Linked DNA regions of Arabidopsis thaliana. The protein of the gene in region 1 interacts with the protein of each later gene in a pairwise test. Each region holds a gene or a part of one and is shown in the gene's direction. Other genes may lie near its edges. The genes, in order: ZML2, SCL21, ACR6 and OFP13.

Region 1 (5,948 bases):
TCTAAGAAAGTGGTCAGAACTTGGATTTAAGCTATCAAATAGACTCTAAGGAGTCCTTTAGAAACATAATCAGGAACCTAAGTCAACTACAGAACAAGTGCACAGAGTTTCAGGAGCCATTTTTTCTAGAAACGAATAAAGATTTGTATCCAATCATTGGATTCCAAGGTTAGGCTTTAAAAAGATCTACATGACACAAGATGACACAATACAACATACACGGCACTCAGTAATCTAGGACTCACCCCTGCCGCCCATGAAGGATTGTGAGCATTTCCATTTCTCAAGTTGATAATATTGTAAGGTATACCCGTTGGAGTATTCCATGCAGGCAATAATCTGTCTGCAATATCCTTAGCCTTTTCAAGGAACATTTTGTCCCCAGAAAGATCATACGCACTAAGAAGTCCGCCTACAACTCTGAAGGCAGATAAAGAAAAAGAATATAAGCAGATGCAATATCCGTTCCCCATCTTATGTCACCAACTGATAATCGCAAATAAACTGACTCTTCCTACGATAATTACAGAAAACAACCACAGTAAACCTGTTAAAGCCACCTTATGGTTGTCTCAAACATACTGGCGTCATAATCCTTGTCGAAATCCAATGAGCTTGCAACCCACCTGCAAATAAAAGACAATAAGCAAATGAAGATTAGCAAAGATGAAGAAGTAAAAAGTTGGATTTGCAACTGGGACGAAAACAGTTACATATGAATAAATGAAGAGCCTGCAATTACTCACTCTCTGGCTTTTTGAAACTGCTCATCTAGACCCATTATATAGAGTGTATCTAAAGAATCTACCATAGTTGCTCCAAGGCCACCAAAGCTATCAGTGCCATCTTTTGTCCGAGGCTGACAATAAAAAAAGGAAAGAAACAAGAATAGCTTCAGACCAATATTTTTTTTGCAGAGTTCAGGAAGAAAATAATCTTAGTTCTTAACAAAATCTTTGTAGGCCTGGTAACTTCAGATAAGCTCATAATAAAAGGCTCAACAGGATACTGGAAGAGCAGGCACTAAACGTCAAAATAAAATTTGATTCATAGAGTCCGTCGTAAACTAGATTTCGTATTCACAAGGGTGAAATGTATTTTGGAAAATAATTGTATACCTGAAGCTCATCTTTCCCCCATGCATACTTTTCATAAGAGCTCCAAGCATGGATCATTGCCTCTTTTACTTTCTGCCTTCGCTGTTTATCAACTGGATCTTCTGGGGCATCCTTCAGAGTCTTCAAAGGCTTATTGCCAACACCACCATTAAGCTCTTCTAACTAGCGGAAAATATAGTTAGTTAGCTAAAACATTAGAAAGACTATCTGAGCCTAGAGTGAGGGGAAAATATTAATCTTACCATCTGCTCCAACCGTGAAACTTCTTCATTTAGCTTAAAAACTTCAACCTGCAAGACAAAAAAAAGCAGGACAAGTGAGAGAATGATCACAAGAGAAATTGTTCACTTCCTTGACATTTTTCTTATTTTGGTTACATAGCTTCTTATAAACGAATACATGAATTGAGTCCAGAAGATATTAATTACAGCTCTTTTCTAGTAAATAAAACACCAACTGTCTTACTTATAGACCTTGAGCTATGAAGGCAATCAAACCATTCCAGGCCTAAACCATATAACCTACTTCACCAAAATTCGAATTGGCCTACCAATAAGCTATGATACAAGAACTATCTCCTACTCCTAGGCAGAGTCTAACCAGATTTCATTAGACAAAACATACCTCATGTTCTCGGGCAAGATTAATACGATCCCAGACAAGCATAGAAACAGAGACGAAGACAATGAAAAGCAAAGCCAAACGTCTCGGTCTTCTAAGATAATACGCAGGATTCAAATATTTCCATATCCCATAACCACTAATCGATCTACTTCTCGCCATCTCTCTTCTCAACCCACTCAACAAAAACAGAGACCAATTGAGAAATCAGTGTCCATGAAACAGAGCAAGACAAAAGTTAAAAGCTTTTAAATTTCTGATCCGAAAAGAGTAAGAAACCGAGAGAGAAATAAGTCTCTCAAAGAACAAAAGTTATAGATCCGATTTTAGTAGTTAGAAGGAGGAAGACGAAGAAAGAATTAAAAAACGAAACTTTACCCAAAAACCAAAAGAAAAGTATTTATTTATATCTCCGGCACTTTTGCTTATTTATTCTTTTGATGATAAAATAATCAATCGAGTCTCTTTAGCCCCCACTGGTTCGTCTCTTTCTTCGATTTCTCTTTCTATCTGGTTTCCATTTTCGTCTCGTTGGTGTTCTGGTGGGTTTGGTTTGTCTCTGTTCTTCTATTTGTGGCGTTATCCATCGGTTCAATTGTCATCTTCATCGTTTCCGTCGTGTTATTTGGTGTTTCTCGTTTGGGTCTTTCGAACATCTTTCATTCTTCTCTTTTTGGTGTTGCTCCCCACGAACAGGTAACATCATCTTAACTCTTATATTGGTTTCGTGTGTCGTAATGAGGAACCTATATTTCAATGGTTTTGGATGTCGCTTTGTTTCAGGATTTGCTTTTGTTTCTTAGGGTTTATTTTGTTTGTTGAAATTATAAGTGAGTTTGTGGAATTGGTATAATATGGTTTATGTAAGGCTTAGAGCGTGGAAATATTGAAACTTTGGATTGAATCTGATTGATGCAAATATGTTAGAAGTCTGTGTTAATCTCTTGAAAACAAGCATTGATCCATAAGGTTTCCTGAATTTATGTATAGTGTTAGTTAGAACTTATATGTAAGTTGCTCCAATGACCGAGGAAGTAAGGTTATATAGTATGTGAATCATGTTTTGCTTAGAGCTGATTTGATTTGTCTGGTCATCCATGAATCGTGCTTATGAAGATTAGGTGTTTTTGTTTGAAGTTTCCAGTTTTAATGTTAATTTGTTTTACTTTCACTGTTATCATTAGGTAGATTGATGAAAAGCAACCATGGATGACCTACATGGAAGCAATGCTCGAATGCACATTAGAGAAGCTCAAGATCCAATGCATGTGCAATTTGAACATCATGCTTTGCATCACATCCACAATGGAAGCGGTATGGTTGATGACCAGGCTGATGATGGCAATGCTGGTGGGATGAGTGAGGGTGTGGAAACAGACATTCCTTCTCACCCTGGAAATGTAACTGACAATCGTGGTGAAGTGGTCGACCGTGGTAGTGAACAAGGAGATCAGTTAACATTGTCTTTTCAGGGCCAAGTCTACGTTTTTGACAGTGTCTTGCCTGAGAAGGTGAGTTAAGTTGTTACTGAGTTGGTTCGTTGATTGTCTCATTCCATTAGAATTTATATTCTTACTCCAAGCCACATTTTAGCAAGTGGTTGAAGGATCTAGTTAGCTTTGAGTTTTTTCCATCTATTGATTCTAATGTGTGAGTGCCTCTTGCTATTCGACGCCTGTTGCAGGTTCAAGCTGTGCTTCTATTATTGGGTGGTCGTGAATTACCTCAGGCAGCCCCTCCTGGCCTAGGATCACCTCATCAGAACAACAGAGTATCGGTAATAAAATATATGATGGCATTTATGGGACATAAGTTCCCTTCCTTGATACATTGCTTGACTGACTGACTGACTAATCAATGAAACAGAGTTTACCTGGTACTCCTCAAAGGTTTAGTATTCCGCAGCGATTAGCTTCTTTGGTCAGATTTCGAGAGAAACGGAAAGGAAGGAATTTTGATAAGAAGATTCGGTATACAGTCCGCAAGGAGGTAGCTTTGAGGTACATTGATGTCTAAATCAACAACTTGGTCTAGTTATACTTCTTTTATGGTTGCTCTCCCAAAATTAAGGTTCGCATCTTGATTACTTTTTGTTTTCTGGTATACAGGATGCAACGCAATAAAGGTCAGTTCACATCTGCCAAGTCAAACAATGATGAAGCTGCATCTGCTGGATCTAGCTGGGGGTCGAATCAAACCTGGGCCATAGAAAGTAGTGAGGCTCAGCATCAAGAGATCTCGTAAGTTTAGAAATGCTTTGAAAGTAAACTGCGAGTTCCTGACATACTTTTTAACTTGAACCAACTTAACGTAGTTATTATGGGTTTGCTAAGCAACTTTAGAAGTTGTTTTTGCTTCCAACCTAATGTAGCATCTGACTTAGTTATTAAACTGAACCATCCTAATGTAGAGATGATAGGTTTATTAAGCATCTTAGATGTTGTTTTTGGTTTCAGAAACGTTGTAGAGGTACTAGAACTCTGAAACCTATCAATGATTCAATATCAAGACATACACATTGCATATGTAATATTTAACATGAGCATGGACCTATACGAATTGGTAACATTGAAGGACCAATACAGACAAAATATTATATAAAAGCTCTTCCATGCCTGAAGCAAAATGACTTCTGTGATAGATGATTGGTTAAGACAGGTTGTGATGACTAATATTGTATCCTGGAACTGAGAATTTTTATAATAACTTTGGAATAGACAATTGTCGTTTAAGTCTTTGTAGATTTGAGTTTTTCTTCTTGATAGCCTTACTTTAGTTGGTAAGAACATATCTGATTTTACTTCCTCTGAATGGCTTGATACCTGTAAGATGTCGGCACTGTGGAATTGGCGAGAAGTCAACTCCAATGATGCGACGTGGACCTGCCGGGCCAAGAACACTTTGCAATGCATGTGGACTTATGTGGGCAAACAAGGCAAGACAATACTTGCTTCTTAATTTGATCAACTCTCTTTATCTTGCTCATTTTGTAGCACTAGTGATTCGATGATTAGTCTGTCTAAATGAGGACGACATTTATACTTTCAGGGTGCTTTTAGGGACTTATCCAAAGCCTCTCCTCAAACAGCCCAGAATCTTCCTTTAAATAAGAATGAAGTAAGCAACATCATGTTTTGACCAAACAATTTGTTGTACGAAAAGGAATCCATTCGTCTTTATCATAACTTGTGCATGTCTGATCTATCTTTGCAGGATGCAAATCTTGAGACTGATCATCAAATAATGATAACAGTGGCCAATGACATAAGCAACTCACAGTGAGGACATGTTGGCTCTTGCCATTACAAGCAAGAGAAAGATCCCAACAGAGTTTGAATCGCCTCAGGTTCTGTAGCTTTATCATTCCCTTTGAAAGAATCTGACTCGATTTAGGTTATCAGGATTTGATCTATGACAATGTAATCTGAGTGATAATGATCTGCAATGTTTTGCTTCTTCTTTTTTTATGATTCAAAAATGCTTTATAGACTGTTGTTGCATTGGTCCATACTCTGATGTAACGTCTAGTTGCAGTCTGTGTTTTACCCTATTTTAAAGACAAACTAACTTTATTTAAGAACTCACCAAAAGAGTAGTCTCCTTATGACCACAGGGTTGTTTTGGAGACTTAGTAGCCTCATGTAAAGTGAACCATGTTCAATGCCTCATGCTTCTCTAAGTCAAGAAACAAAAAGAGGCTTGTGAATTGTGATATTATTAGCCAAAGGAACTTGCCAAAGGAACTTGCCAAAACAAGGAGACAAACTAAAATGGTTCAGTGCGAATGTGACTGCTCCTTTGTTTTCAGTGGCAAAGATTTTTACACAGAATTTTGCCTAAAAGACTTTCAAATATCCCTTAGATCAAAAAAAAAAAAAAAAAAAAAAGAGACTTTAAAATATCCCAATTTGTGAGAGATATTTTAGATTCCATTTTTGTTTTTATTTTAGCTTAATAGACAAAATCTTATTTCTTGCATTTTCTCTTCTAGTGAATTGTCTCATCTTATCATGAAAATCTGAAAATCTTCTCATAGTTTCATTTTTTAATAATATTTATATTGACTTTTTAGCATACCAGTCATTACATTTCAATTTTTCTGATAAACTACATTACAATGTTATTAGTTAATTTATGAGAGCTAAGCTTTGGAAATAAATGGTATAAAAGAATATTCTTATAATCTTTGTGGACAAAAGATTATTATCT
Region 2 (4,509 bases), on another chromosome or scaffold:
AGCGGAGTTCGGACAATGGTGTGTAGCCGATGGACAGATACCAGATAATGTGATACAAGCAGCCGTAGACTGGGCTTGTCAAACAGGTGGAGCAGACTGCAGTACGATTCAGCCTAACCAGCCTTGCTTCTTGCCCAACACTGTCAAGGACCATGCCTCTGTTGTCTTCAATAACTATTACCAGCGTTATAAGCGCAACGGCGGTTCCTGTAACTTCAACAGCACTGCATTTATCACACAAACCGACCCTAGTAAGCAACTTTATCTAAACCCTTTTTGTTACAGTTATTTAAGCTCTTTGATCAATCAAAATCTTGAACCATCTGTTTCTGATTATCTCATGATTTGATAGGTCACGATTCGTGCCATTTTGAGTATGTGCCATTTTGAGTATGTCCAATGATTCAAAGGAAAGACCAAGATGAAATGAAAGATGATGAATTATACTACCGGTGAACAATATAAACAAATCTTTGTTGGAACTTGGAAGTTCTTGTAATGTAGAATTTTGATAAATTGTATGGTAATAAGATTACATTAATATGGTCGTCATTTACATAATCCCTTTAGCAACAAACTGAACAAGTAAAGGAAGATGCTTAATGGTTGTCGACACAGAATTGTTATTAAGCAATCTCTTAGGTAAACAAAAAAAAACAGTGAGTTCATATGTAGGATAAGCTTGACCACAAACTTGACAATATAGATGGTTATGAGATTGTTTAGAAAAGTAAAGTTGCCCATGCAGCAATGAACGCAAAGCCTCCGAATGGTGCCAATGTCGAAAACTTTCTGTCCTCCCGCAGCGCTACCATATAACACCTGCAACAACATTTCAACACACATGAAACTTCTCACATACTCATACCCGGAAATAGACTATTGAACACAAAACTAAAGTTATCTACTAAGCATCTAAAATATAGTTACTTCTCCAAAGAGCATACCTTCACATATCAAAGGAAGTACAAAGGGGACAAATACCATTCATTAACTCAAATACAAAGACCTATGCTATTAAATAAGTGATACAATGGTTTCCAAATGCTTCAGAGTTGGACACATGTCGAAATCGATAAAATCTCCCTAGCCACGAAGAATTGTGGCAAGTATTGCTACTGCTAGAGATTAGATATGAATTCTAGAAAGTCCAAATCATATCTAAATAGCTCAAATATCCATGAATGCACTACTATAACCTCAATGACAAGACATCCAACAAACATCTAGCACAAAAGCTCTACCATACACATCTCAAACTGAAGAATCTGAGAAACAAAAAGATAACAACTTACGTGCCGGAAAAGGCTACAATTCCAGCAGTCAACAAGCCACCAAACTAAGCAAGAAAAAGATATGTCAGCTCCATCAACTCTCAAAGGACAAAGATTAGAGAAACAGAGTACAAGAAGAGAAAGCTAACAATGTTGGGATATTTGGTGCTAGGAGCAGAAACAAGAGCAGCAGTGTGAACCAAATGGTAAAGTGAAGCCGTTTGCCACACCTGAACAACAACAAAAAAACCTAAACTTTCTCACAGAAATCCAACAAAGTATCGAATTTTCCAACAATTTTCAAGAATCTAAACCTGTTTGTAAGAAGGGTTCTCTGGTTTAAAGACATGAGCACCATAAGTTCCCAAACCAAGAGCAGCCATACCTAAACCAATTCTATCCGAATCAGTACCTTTCCTCACAAGATCAAAATCAAAAGATCATTACTTTATCTTAAATCTCACCGGAAATAGCGGCGACTTTGTGCCACATCCGAGGATCCATCGATCGTCGTCCTCTGATGTCTCTTAGATTGCTTCTTACACTATTTCCCATTTGACCAGAGACTTTAAGCGAGATGTGTCAAGTCGGTGATCGGGTCTTATTCGGTTTAAGCCTAAAACGACGTCGTATGTGATGTGTTATTTTCTTCACTACAGCAACTAAAAAGATTCTTCCTTTTGCTTCAGCTGCGAGCTTTGGTTGGATCTCTCACTTGCAAAACCAAATCCCTTATCGACTTCCACCGAAAGATCACTTCTTAACCTACACAAGGTTTGTTTTTCTCATAAAAATCAAACCTTTATTCTCTTTTCTTGATGATTTTGATGCTCTGCTTCTTCTTATCCACAAAACATGAAAACATTTCTTCTTTGATAAGTTTGATGTTGGTTTGTTGTAAATGATTGCTCTTTCTAGCAAGCTTTACTCTAAAGTGTGAAGAGAAATTGTCAAATTAGTTTGTTTAGGATTGGAACTCTTGTATGCCTTGTTTATTGATGAAGTAGTTCATGGCTGACGTAGATTCATAGAGTCATGAGTTGATTTCAATGATACTAGAGTTCTTGTTAGAGTTTTGATCTCCATGGATATTATTGTTCAATATTGATATCTAATTCAGTCTCTGATTAATGACTTTGTCTATGAATTCTACAGGTGTTTGTTATGAAGATCAGATAAATAAAAGGTCATTTGAGGATAATGGTTGATGTTCAAAGATTCTTACTTGCTTATTTGTGATGGACAATGTAAGAGGTTCAATAATGTTGCAGCCACTGCCAGAGATAGCTGAGAGTATCGATGATGCTATCTGCCATGAACTCTCCATGTGGCCTGATGATGCTAAAGATTTGTTATTGATAGTGGAGGCAATATCAAGGGGAGACTTGAAGTTGGTACTTGTTGCTTGTGCAAAAGCTGTTTCTGAGAATAATCTTCTAATGGCACGATGGTGTATGGGTGAGTTGCGCGGTATGGTTTCGATTTCTGGTGAGCCAATCCAGAGATTGGGAGCTTATATGTTAGAAGGGCTTGTTGCTAGGCTTGCTGCTTCTGGTAGTTCGATATATAAGTCTCTCCAGTCCAGAGAACCAGAGAGTTATGAATTTTTATCTTATGTGTATGTTCTGCATGAGGTTTGTCCATATTTCAAGTTTGGATACATGTCAGCGAATGGTGCGATTGCAGAAGCAATGAAGGATGAAGAGAGGATTCACATTATTGACTTCCAAATTGGACAAGGGAGCCAGTGGATAGCACTTATCCAGGCTTTTGCAGCTAGGCCTGGTGGGGCTCCAAATATTCGAATTACCGGAGTTGGTGATGGATCTGTCTTGGTTACAGTCAAGAAGAGACTAGAGAAACTTGCAAAGAAGTTTGATGTTCCATTCAGGTTCAATGCGGTTTCAAGGCCAAGTTGTGAAGTTGAAGTGGAAAATCTTGATGTCCGAGATGGCGAAGCCCTTGGAGTGAACTTTGCTTACATGCTGCATCATTTGCCAGATGAGAGTGTAAGCATGGAAAACCACAGGGACCGGTTGCTGAGGATGGTGAAGAGTCTATCACCTAAAGTAGTCACTCTTGTGGAACAAGAATGCAACACGAACACTTCCCCTTTCCTTCCTAGGTTCCTTGAGACATTAAGTTATTACACGGCAATGTTCGAATCTATCGATGTTATGCTTCCGAGAAATCACAAGGAAAGGATCAATATCGAGCAGCACTGCATGGCAAGGGATGTCGTCAACATCATAGCTTGTGAAGGAGCCGAGAGGATCGAAAGACACGAGCTTCTCGGGAAATGGAAGTCAAGGTTTTCCATGGCGGGTTTTGAGCCATACCCCTTGAGCTCAATCATTTCAGCCACCATTAGAGCCCTCTTGAGAGATTACAGCAACGGGTATGCGATTGAAGAAAGAGATGGTGCTCTGTACCTTGGTTGGATGGACCGAATCTTGGTCTCATCTTGTGCATGGAAGTGAAAGAATAAACGTCTCCAAGAATGTAATGCAAAAGACAGAACTGGAAGTAATAGATAGTTTTGTCTCATAACCATTAATAAGGTTGAATCAAATCATATACATCCCCATGCTACAACTATTACACAGGCTCCATCAACAAAGAAGGGCTCTTGTTGTGTTACCTTCTCTTCCTGTAACTCTTATTTGAACCAAATGGAAGTGGTTACATAAAGGTATTAAAGCATACTATTCCATTAAACACTAATCTAAATCTGGTCCCGCCTGAACAACAACTGTACAGTCTATAACCATATCGCCTGTACTAATCTATGTTAAAACAGCCATATAAATTACCACTCGGTACAACACTGAATGCTTAGCTTTGGGCAGGCTCTGTCTTGGGTTTTTGTTCCTCGCTCTCCAGGGTTCCTACTGCCTTCTCTTGACAAACAGTGGTTTTATCATCTGACTTTGCTTCCGGCTTGGCGTGATTGGCTGCGTGATCTTTGTTTGCATCTGATCTCTCTTTTATTTCCTCCTTCAGCTTCTCATCCAAAACTGGACCTTGATCAAGACTTTTCTCAAAGCCATTAGTCTTCGTTTTCTTTCTTAAGTGATCTTCGACATGCTGGTCTTTTGTAATGGATTGAAGAGTTGAGCTCTGTGGAGTCTTGTTGGCATCTCCTTCTTTATCATCAACTTCCGAGTCCAGCATGTTATTATGAGTAACAACTCTTCCTGGAGGCATATCGTGGTCGTGTTTTCCCTCGTAAGTT
Region 3 (5,286 bases), on another chromosome or scaffold:
TGCAAGAAAGAAAGATTGTTGAATAAAGGAATGATCAACACACAAGAGCATCAAAGGCAGGGTAGTGAAAAACAAGAAGCAAATTAAACCTTGGTAGGTATAAGAGTTGAGAAAAGCATCGAAATGGCCGGAAAGTTCCCATGCCTTTTGGACAGCGGCATGAAAAGCAACTTCAGAGTCAGATTCCATGTCGAGTGCTATAACATCGGCAGGGAAGGCTCCCTCAATGGAATCTCTAATCTTGTCTACAATGCTCCTTAGGGAACCCTCATTTCCCATCATTACCAACCTAGCAACAGTACATTGCATTTTTTGAAGGTTAACTATAGACACCAAAGTCAACCACAACACAAATCGGGGCTAGAAGAAGAAACACAGGATAGGAGGAAAGAAGACAAAATGAGAGACTCACTTGCAACCGTGTTTGGCTAGATGGAAAGCGATGTTTCGGGACACCTCGTCGCCGTTGGATGTCATCAACACTCTCTTCGCCGGATTTTCCATTTTGCCAAAGTAACTCTTTATAAAACAATTCAGCAGATTCAACAAGACTTAAGGGAGGGAGGGAGTGAGATTGATTCGATCGCCAATTCTAAATAACTATAAAGAGTGGCTGCAAAAGCTCTTACCGGAACTGTGTCTGTGTGTTACCAAAACGGCGAAACAAAGCAAATAATTAATGCCTAACCACATGATCCACCACGTTCTGTTGTTACCTTCTTTAATTTGTAGATAGAAGAAGATGGTGATTGATAACGGAGATGTATTTTTTTCTTTAATAAAAAGCCCACTTCAAGGCCCAGATCCATTTCTGTACTTTGTAGGTTTTCCAACTTTCCCGGCGCCGGAAGCAAGCGTAAGTTATCACTGTTCCCCAACCAAATTCCATCATATCCTATTATCCTACTACTAATGGATCCATCTCCAAGATTCCTAATTTCACTTTGCTACAAACTTATTTCGTGTTTTTGGTTTATAATTAATAGCCGTTGTTGGTTATGAATATGTAAGCATAAAAGGCATTTGGGAGCTCCAGACAGACAATGAATCATCAACATCAGGTACTCTGTCTTTCGTTTATGTTTCTGTTCCATTCTTTTGAAATATATAGAGGAGGAACTTGTTATTAGCTAGTCCATTGATCAACACACAAAGAGTGAGAATGAAAGCAATTCCTCCAACCAAAAGGATGCTTTCCCTTATTGATTTAGTTGGACCAATATATAAAGAGAACAAAGGAGGGTGTTGGTAGGTAACAAAAGATTCTAGGTGGTGGGAGGGTAGTGGATTTTTGAAAACCGTGTGTTGACTTAATGAAAGAGGTGTAGAGTAATGGGATTGTGAGAGTGTTAAATAATAAAAGACTAGGATACGAAATCATTGTGACATGTCAATTTTTCAAGTGGGTGGTGGAATCCGCAACAAAATATAAAATAAGAAAAATGCTTTGCTTGCTTGCTTGCTCTACTTTGCCTTCTTTTTGCAACCAACATGACGTTATGCTGGAAAGGAATCAAATTGTTACTTGGTCATGCACCTGTGAACGTTACGGAGAGGTCTACCTCAAGATAACGAATGATCTATTATACTAGTAAATACCACATCTTGCTTGAGAAGGAGAATATAATCCCCTTTATGATCATCAAATTGACCCCAAATCTTCACCCGACTTTTGGTAGTATTCGAACAATTATAACAGAATCTAAAAGTTGCTGTGCCCGTGCCACGTCATCTCTAAGAATCTTTAGTGGCACGTGCTCGATCAACTAATGAAAACAAGGTTCGGTTCCGGTGGCCTACCATTTTTATCCTCCTTCAACTTCCCTCTCCCTCTCTCTTTTAGGAATTTTCCTCAGAAATTGGAGGACTCACACTCTTCTGGGTTTCTGCTGCAGCCAAATCACCAAGGAGATACATACTACAACCATGGATGATGATGAATATGCCAAGCTCATCAGGAGAATGAATCCTCCCAGGTTTTTCTCTTTCTCTCCATACTCTTTTATTGTTTTCTAGGTCCTCTGTTTCTCCATGCTCCGTTTGTGAGCCTCTATACCCTTGTAAAGATTCCAGCTGCTAAAACATTCATCTTTATTTATGTATGTTTCATGGTGGATACAGAGTTGTAATAGACAACAACGCAAGCGACGATGCCACTGTTATTCAGGTAAATAAATCTGTCTCTTCAAATTGTTCAAGTGGTTCTGTACCAAACAAAGAGATTTTGAGAAAACAGAGTTCCCTGTTTGTTTGTGGTGCTAAATAAAAGGTTGATAGTGTGAACAAACATGGGACTCTATTGGAAGTAGTACAAGTGCTCACTGATATGAATCTTGTGATCAAGAAAGCTTACATCTCTTCCGATGGAGGTTGGTTCATGGACGTTTTCAAAGTCATCGACCAAGATGGCAATAAGATCAGAGACACTCAAGTCCTTGACTATATCCAAAAGGTTTCTAATGTATTTCATCACTTTTTTTCTTTCATTTTCAACAGGTTTTTTTCTTTGTGTAAAACGTTTGTTGAATTCATTGCGCAGAGGATAGAGAGCAACGCTGGGTGGTTCATTCCACCTTTGAGAAGCTCAGTTGGTGTAATGCCCACTGACGAATACACATCCATTGAGCTCGCTGGAACTGACAGACCCGGTCTCTTGTCTGAAGTATCTGCTGTTCTCACAGACCTTCACTGCAACGTTGTGAACGCTGAGATATGGACTCACAACACCAGAGCTGCAGCGGTTATTCATGTCACGGACAATTCAACTCATTCTGCCATTACTGACCCGATTCGCCTTTCCACCATCAAGGAGCTGCTGTGCAATGTAGTGAGGACAAACAGCGGCTCAAGAGCTGCGAAAACAGTCTTCTCTTGTTCTGATACACACAGGGAGAGACGGTTGCATCAGATCATGTTTGATGATAGGGACTACGAGGGAGTCAAAAGAGCAAGGACATCGGCGTCAAGGCCCAGTGTCACACTAATGAACATTGAGAAGGATTATACCGTTGTTACCATGAGGTCCAAAGATAGACCAAAGCTTGTGTTTGACGTAGTCTGTACTTTGACTGATATGCAGTATGTGGTGTTCCATGGCATGGTCAGCACAGAACCAGTGGAGGCTTATCAGGTAACTACTCAACGGCCGTCTGTTGGGATCTCTCTTCTAACAATAATATGAGTGTTTTGCTGCAGGAATTTTACATCCGTCATGTGGATGGACTTCCCATAAACTCAGAAGCAGAGCAAGAACGTGTCATACAATGTCTGGAAGCAGCCATTGAGAGGAGAGCATCGGAGGTAACCAATTAGGAATGTGAAAATTCTCTGTCTTGGCTCAAATTACATTCTGTTCTGCATCGATTTCTGATATACTCAAGACAGATTGTGCATATGAAACATACTTTCAGGGTTTAGAGCTGGAATTATCAGCAGAAGACCGAGTTGGTCTTCTCTCAGACATAACCAGAACATTCCGAGAGAACAGCTTAACCATTGTGAGAGCAGAGATATCAACGCGAGAGGGTAAGGCTAAAGACACGTTCTACGTTACAGACGTGACTGGAAACCCGGTTGAATCAAAAATCGTGGAGTCAATCAGACAACAGATAGGAGTAAGCAAGCTGAAGGTGAAGAAGAAGGAGAAGGAGCATTGCTCTGTTCTTGGTACAAGCAGGCCTTCGCACGAAACAACTACAATGGGGTATTTGCTAAGTAACATCTTCAAACCCAAGTAGCTTCAAGCTTCACCTATCTCACTCATAGTCATAGAGTGTGTGTGTGCTTTGTATAGGTTAGACAGAGTAGGGCATCATTTAAGCTGATCGTAGCGATCCCCTCTCAACAAGTCCCTTGTGTGTAAATTTGTGTGAACAAAATAACAGGAACTGCCTTTGAATAGATACGGCGTCAGTTAATACCGTTGATTAATGGATCCAGGGGACATTAATAAAGATGCAAAGTGTTTACTATTATGATTTAATGAGAGCATTCGAAAGATCAATAAGAGATGAAGAAGAGGAAGACAGAGAAAGGTGAGCTTAAAACAACTCTCTCTCTAATTACAAACTATAATCTAAAACCTGTCATTACAGCCATTGACTAGTTTCCTAATCTTCCTCCACCACATTCTCTTACAAGAAAACTTCAAATAGAAAAGAAAAAAGAAAGCAGAGGAAGGGATCAGAGCCAGAGAGCGCCGGCGTCTTTGAGAAGAGGAACGAGAGAGCCGTTTATGTGAGAAGCCATGACTCTGTCCATAGCTCCAACCAGTTTACCGCCGATGAAGACGACCGGGAGAGACCCTGGAGAAGAGGAGCCGGAGCAGCCGAGGAGACGAATGAGGGCTCGCTGGATGTCGCCGCCGTAGGGGTGGAGGTCGAGCTCGTGGACGGCGGGGCTGACGCCCATTCCTCTGAAGAGACCCTTCACGGCGTGGCACATGCAGCACGTGCTCACGCTGAAGATCACCACCGCGCTCTCAGAAGCCAGGGACTCTATACGAAGCAGACCAGTGTCAGCCACCATCCCCAAACCGCCGAATCCTAAGCTGCTCATCTTGTATGATCCCCACGATTCTGTCTGGTATTGCATCTTTGATATCTCTTCTCTTTCTCTTGTTACACTTTTGTTTGGAAAGAAACTAGATTAAACACGAATAAGAGAGAAAGAGGGATTGGCTAAAGTTTGTTGGTGAGAAGAGAGTGAGAGCCATGCAGAGTATTTATAGAGGCCTACTACACCTCTGAGTCTAACTCTGTTTTCCTCTAATTATTAGTATTATTGTTTCTTTCTTTATTATTTGTGTATAATAACATGACCTCTATTTACTTCTCCATGAAAAAAAGAAAAAAAGTAACAAAACATATGAATTAAAACCGATGACATCAAGATAGTGATTGCTGTTGAAAACAAACACCGATAATAGTTATCGGAATAATTTCATTTTTTTGTAAAAAAAAAAAAAAAGGCAAGGAGAGTTGAAGAACAGGCTTTTATCAGAAGGGAGTTGTTGGTAATAGACGGCTCCGTCTGTCCTTCTTGTCGGCTCTTACCGCTCTCACCATTAATTTTCTTACCACTTAATTCTCTCTTTTTCTTTCTTTGTATTTTCAGATACATGATCATAAAGTAAGAAACCATAATTTCCACGTAGATAAGCTCCCTCAATCTGTACAATATGGATTTTGGCAGGGTTTTTCTTTTATTCCATTCTACTCTGTAAAATATATAATTCCATACGACCGAGTAATCATCAATCCAGCAAATGTGTAATCATCACATCAT
Region 4 (3,531 bases), on another chromosome or scaffold:
CCTCACATGAGTTTTGCACACAATCTTTCTCTCTCTTTTTCTTATTCTATGTTCCCATATTTATCCCACAAACGTTGATCCAATATCTTACGCAAATTAAGGCAAAACAGGAAATTTTTGCAAAAGAGAAAGATATGGAGGTGTTGGGTAAATAAAGTTGAAAATGTACGAAAATAATGATGCATTTATTTCACAACAATGGGTTTCAACATCAGATTGCTTCTGTTTAAATCTTTTACTACTTTCAGTTTTATATCTCTGATAAACTCTATAATATTGACTGATTCCTAAAGGACACTGTCTCAGGATCTATCCCCTACATTCTTGTTCTACCTTGATGGATCATATATTTTACCTTAGTAAAGAAAATCGTCCAAGAAATTCATCATTAATTAAAAACATACATATAACATAGTCCTTCTTCGAATATAAGACTTCAATTCCTCAAAAAAAATTAAACGAAATAAATTATTTTTAAATATATATTCAAGAAACTGATGTTCATCGAGTTTAATTATTCAGTTGAATTACAATTCTTACTTTTAGAAATTTGTATTGCGACCAAGAAGAAACATTCTTTAAGCTCAAAGCTTCATATAATTTACACATACGTAATTTATAGATAACACGTTGACCGAGAGTATTAGAAGCTCACAGTGCTTATAGGAAAGTCAAAACTGACTGCATCAGTACGATTTTTACGTGTTCGTTTATGGATTATATAATACAAAATAGCTTATACATCAGTTTTAAAAAAATTAAACAAATTAATTAAGATGTAAAACACTATTAAAGTCGTAAAGAGAGAGTAATTAAAAATGAGAAGAAGATTTGACAAGACGAGCCAATAGACAAGAATGTAGTACCGTCAATCAACCTTTATAAAGTAGTAGTAGTATATAAAATTACTAAATGTTTATTGGGATTTGTTTTTCTGCAACATTTTCTTGTAAGCAATCGTTTTTAATGCTTTGTGTTCTGCACAGTGCTTTGTCATTGGCTCGGGACTAACATTTTTTCTAGTATTATTTTATTTTATTTTAATTAAAATATTTAATTTTTCTTGTCTTCAACCAAATTGAATGCTACTGCTGTGTCTTACTATACTTGTTCATGAGTATAATATTATCATCTTAAATTTAGATAACAAAGACAAAATAAAAATTCAAATTCCCATAGAGCCATTATATCGTGTTTGCATGAAACTTTTGTTAGTTAAAAAATACAAATTCAACCTCTCCAACAAGGCAATAACAACCCATGGAGCTAATAATATGTAAACTGCATGAGGATAAGTGTTTTCGTCACACAAGAAGATTGTCAATTTTTCAAAACAGCAAAATATTTGTAAAAAACATAATTCTTCCACTCATGTGTATATCAATAAAATCACAACGACAAAAACATTATTGTAAAATGTAGCAATAAACTATTTGTAAAAATAATATATCTCCATTATAAAAACATTTTTGTAAAATTGATCAATTATTAGATCGAATAGTGTAGAAAAAACCAATATTAAAAATTTGGATTGTAGCAAATCAAATATTGGAAAAAACTATTGAAATCCCGGTTGAACAGAAAACGAATCGAAAAAGCTAACCACAAAGCAAAACAAAAACAAACTATCAACTTCAATCATCGTAATTTTTATAGTTAAGACTTTAGACTAAATAAGTAAAAGCACTTCAAATAACTAACCAGAAAAAAATGGAAAATTAACAACAAATAGAAAAATATCCCAAAATTAAATAGACACATGACCTGACCCCACCAGCTCTCTCTTCTCTCCCCATATATCGCATTCCCTCCAACTCCTTCCTCTTCCATTAATTACTAAACCCAAACCCAACCAAAGATCTTCACAAAGAAAAAAACAATTGGTGGTATCAATGGGGAAGAAGAAGATGAAACTCTCTTCTCTGTTCAAAGGCGGAGCCGGAGGATTACTAGCGGTTCCTCTCTGTTACAATGCCAAAACTCTTTCGTTCCGAGTCGGCGACGACATGATCAAGACGGTGAACTCTGTTTTCTTCGACCACCACCACAACAACAACAATGGAGGAGATTTGTTGGAAGCGGAGACGCCTGAGTCATGGTTTACTAACTCGTCCGAGACAGCGAGTCACTCAACCGAGTCGGATCAAGACCTTGACGCTGAGTCCTTAGAGATGGTGGTTCGTGGCGTTGTTAGATCGGAGCGGTTATTCTTCGATCCAGGAGTTACGAGTTCGATTCTGGAAGAGATTGAAGAGAAATCGAAATCGGATTTGAAATCGAAGGAAACGGTTGCGGTGGGAGAAGATCGGAGTACGCCGATTGAGGAGATTAGTGTCGCGGTGGCGATGGAATCCGAGGATCCGTACGGTGATTTCCGGCGATCGATGGAGGAGATGGTGACGAGTCACGGTGAGTTGGCTAAAGATTGGGAGAGCTTGGAATCGATGCTCGCTTGGTATTTGAGGATGAATGGGAGGAAGAGTCACGGCGTTATCGTCAGTGCTTTTGTTGATCTTCTCTCTGGACTCTCTGATTCCGGCGCCGGAATAACGTCGGCTTCGGTATCGGATTCGGCTCGTTATTCAACCGCCGTTTCGTCTTTGCCGTCGTCGCCGGTTTATTCGTTATCTCAAGGTCAGACGGAGATTCAAGAGGAAGAGAGACGGAGCTGTTAAAAATAAAAAAAGGCTTAAGATTCGGTTTTAAATTTTTTAATCTCCGGTTTTGTTTAGATTAATTAACCCTTTTTGGATTTTGTAAAAAGTAATTAGTGGTTAGAGGAAAAAGAACCATTAAATATATATCAAAAATATTTTTAGAGCCATTATTGTTGATTTATGTGTATAACAGTGCCTTTTGTCATAACTCGAAAGTTACACTATTTTTCCCCCAAAATTCATGAAACTCAGCGAAGTTTATGCCAACAGATTCAGAGAAATTTTGTATAACAGCCCCATTTTAAAAGGAAATATACATAAGAATAAATTCTGTGATACTTCTTTTTATTTAAGCTCTTTATTTTTTACTTCTTTTTTAGGTTTTAAAGGACATAGAATTATAATTTCTCATTTTTTTTGCAGGCATATTATATAGCCTTTCTCATTAGATGTAGGCATGTAGCTCCTTTGGCATCCATATTAAAAATTTTTTTGTCACAAATATTGGACCTTACATTTTTTTTCCCCAAATAAAATTTGGTATTACGAATTTTCGATGGTTACACAAGGACTACTACACTAACATAAACTGTAAGACTCATTAAATATCATGCTCGGATAATTCATGTATTAACATTAATAACATAGAGATTTTATTTATTGATTTGACTCTTAAAAGCATCATCACGTAAGATATTTAGCAAAACCCTTTTTGTGATATCCATGCTGGAGTTAAAATCTTGAAAATAAGCGTAATAGAAACACCCGTAGTGTATGTATAAATGTAATTGTCATGAACTTATGAGATTCAAGTTTTAAAAATACAGAAAAGGATAGTGTATTTACGAGGGTGCATTAAAAGAGAATGTTGGTC

What was found.
Region 2: the proteins of ZML2 (region 1) and SCL21 interact in binary tests that used the Arabidopsis thaliana proteins (3 or more experiments, as listed by UniProt).
Region 3: the proteins of ZML2 (region 1) and ACR6 interact in binary tests that used the Arabidopsis thaliana proteins (3 or more experiments, as listed by UniProt).
Region 4: the proteins of ZML2 (region 1) and OFP13 interact in binary tests that used the Arabidopsis thaliana proteins (3 or more experiments, as listed by UniProt).

Annotation. Positions count from the first base shown.
Region 1 is NC_003070.9:19,130,232-19,136,179, forward strand, and holds ZML2 (ZIM-LIKE 2), read left to right. Parts: upstream 1-1,989; 5' UTR 1,990-2,435; intron 2,436-2,923; 5' UTR 2,924-2,944; coding exon 2,945-3,250; intron 3,251-3,423; coding exon 3,424-3,516; intron 3,517-3,605; coding exon 3,606-3,739; intron 3,740-3,847; coding exon 3,848-3,979; intron 3,980-4,568; coding exon 4,569-4,674; intron 4,675-4,787; coding exon 4,788-4,856; intron 4,857-4,952; coding exon 4,953-5,021; 3' UTR 5,022-5,399; downstream 5,400-5,948. Other genes in the region: MNS1 (alpha-mannosidase 1), read right to left, coding at 246-420, 561-626, 747-859, 1,119-1,280, 1,361-1,408, 1,743-1,901. UniProt on the Arabidopsis thaliana protein: Transcriptional activator that specifically binds 5'-GATA-3' or 5'-GAT-3' motifs within gene promoters.
Region 2 is NC_003071.7:1,719,820-1,724,328, reverse strand, and holds SCL21 (SCARECROW-like 21), read left to right. Parts: upstream 1-1,724; 5' UTR 1,725-1,738; coding exon of another isoform or gene 1,739-1,829; 5' UTR 1,830-2,048; intron 2,049-2,429; 5' UTR 2,430-2,512; coding exon 2,513-3,754; 3' UTR 3,755-3,968; downstream 3,969-4,509. Other genes in the region: AT2G04910 (Carbohydrate-binding X8 domain superfamily protein), read left to right, coding at 1-349; AT2G04900 (uncharacterized protein), read right to left, coding at 723-822, 1,296-1,339, 1,424-1,504, 1,589-1,659, 1,739-1,829; ZAP1 (zinc-dependent activator protein-1), read right to left, coding at 4,110-4,509. UniProt on the Arabidopsis thaliana protein: Probable transcription factor involved in plant development.
Region 3 is NC_003074.8:328,330-333,615, forward strand, and holds ACR6 (ACT domain repeat 6), read left to right. Parts: upstream 1-1,769; coding exon 1,770-1,780; intron 1,781-1,807; exon of another isoform or gene 1,808-1,895; coding exon 1,896-1,976; intron 1,977-2,121; coding exon 2,122-2,167; intron 2,168-2,269; coding exon 2,270-2,452; intron 2,453-2,539; coding exon 2,540-3,130; coding exon of another isoform or gene 3,131-3,181; exon of another isoform or gene 3,182-3,195; coding exon 3,196-3,300; coding exon of another isoform or gene 3,301-3,312; exon of another isoform or gene 3,313-3,384; coding exon of another isoform or gene 3,385-3,410; coding exon 3,411-3,737; 3' UTR 3,738-3,793; coding exon of another isoform or gene 3,794-3,824; 3' UTR 3,825-4,182; coding exon of another isoform or gene 4,183-4,593; 3' UTR 4,594-4,733; downstream 4,734-5,286. Other genes in the region: AT3G01980 (NAD(P)-binding Rossmann-fold superfamily protein), read right to left, coding at 1-289, 413-504; ROXY1 (Thioredoxin superfamily protein), read right to left, coding at 4,183-4,593. UniProt on the Arabidopsis thaliana protein: May bind amino acids.
Region 4 is NC_003076.8:1,397,793-1,401,323, forward strand, and holds OFP13 (ovate family protein 13), read left to right. Parts: upstream 1-1,602; 5' UTR 1,603-1,892; coding exon 1,893-2,675; 3' UTR 2,676-2,992; downstream 2,993-3,531. UniProt on the Arabidopsis thaliana protein: Transcriptional repressor that regulates multiple aspects of plant growth and development through the regulation of BEL1-LIKE (BLH) and KNOX TALE (KNAT) homeodomain transcription factors.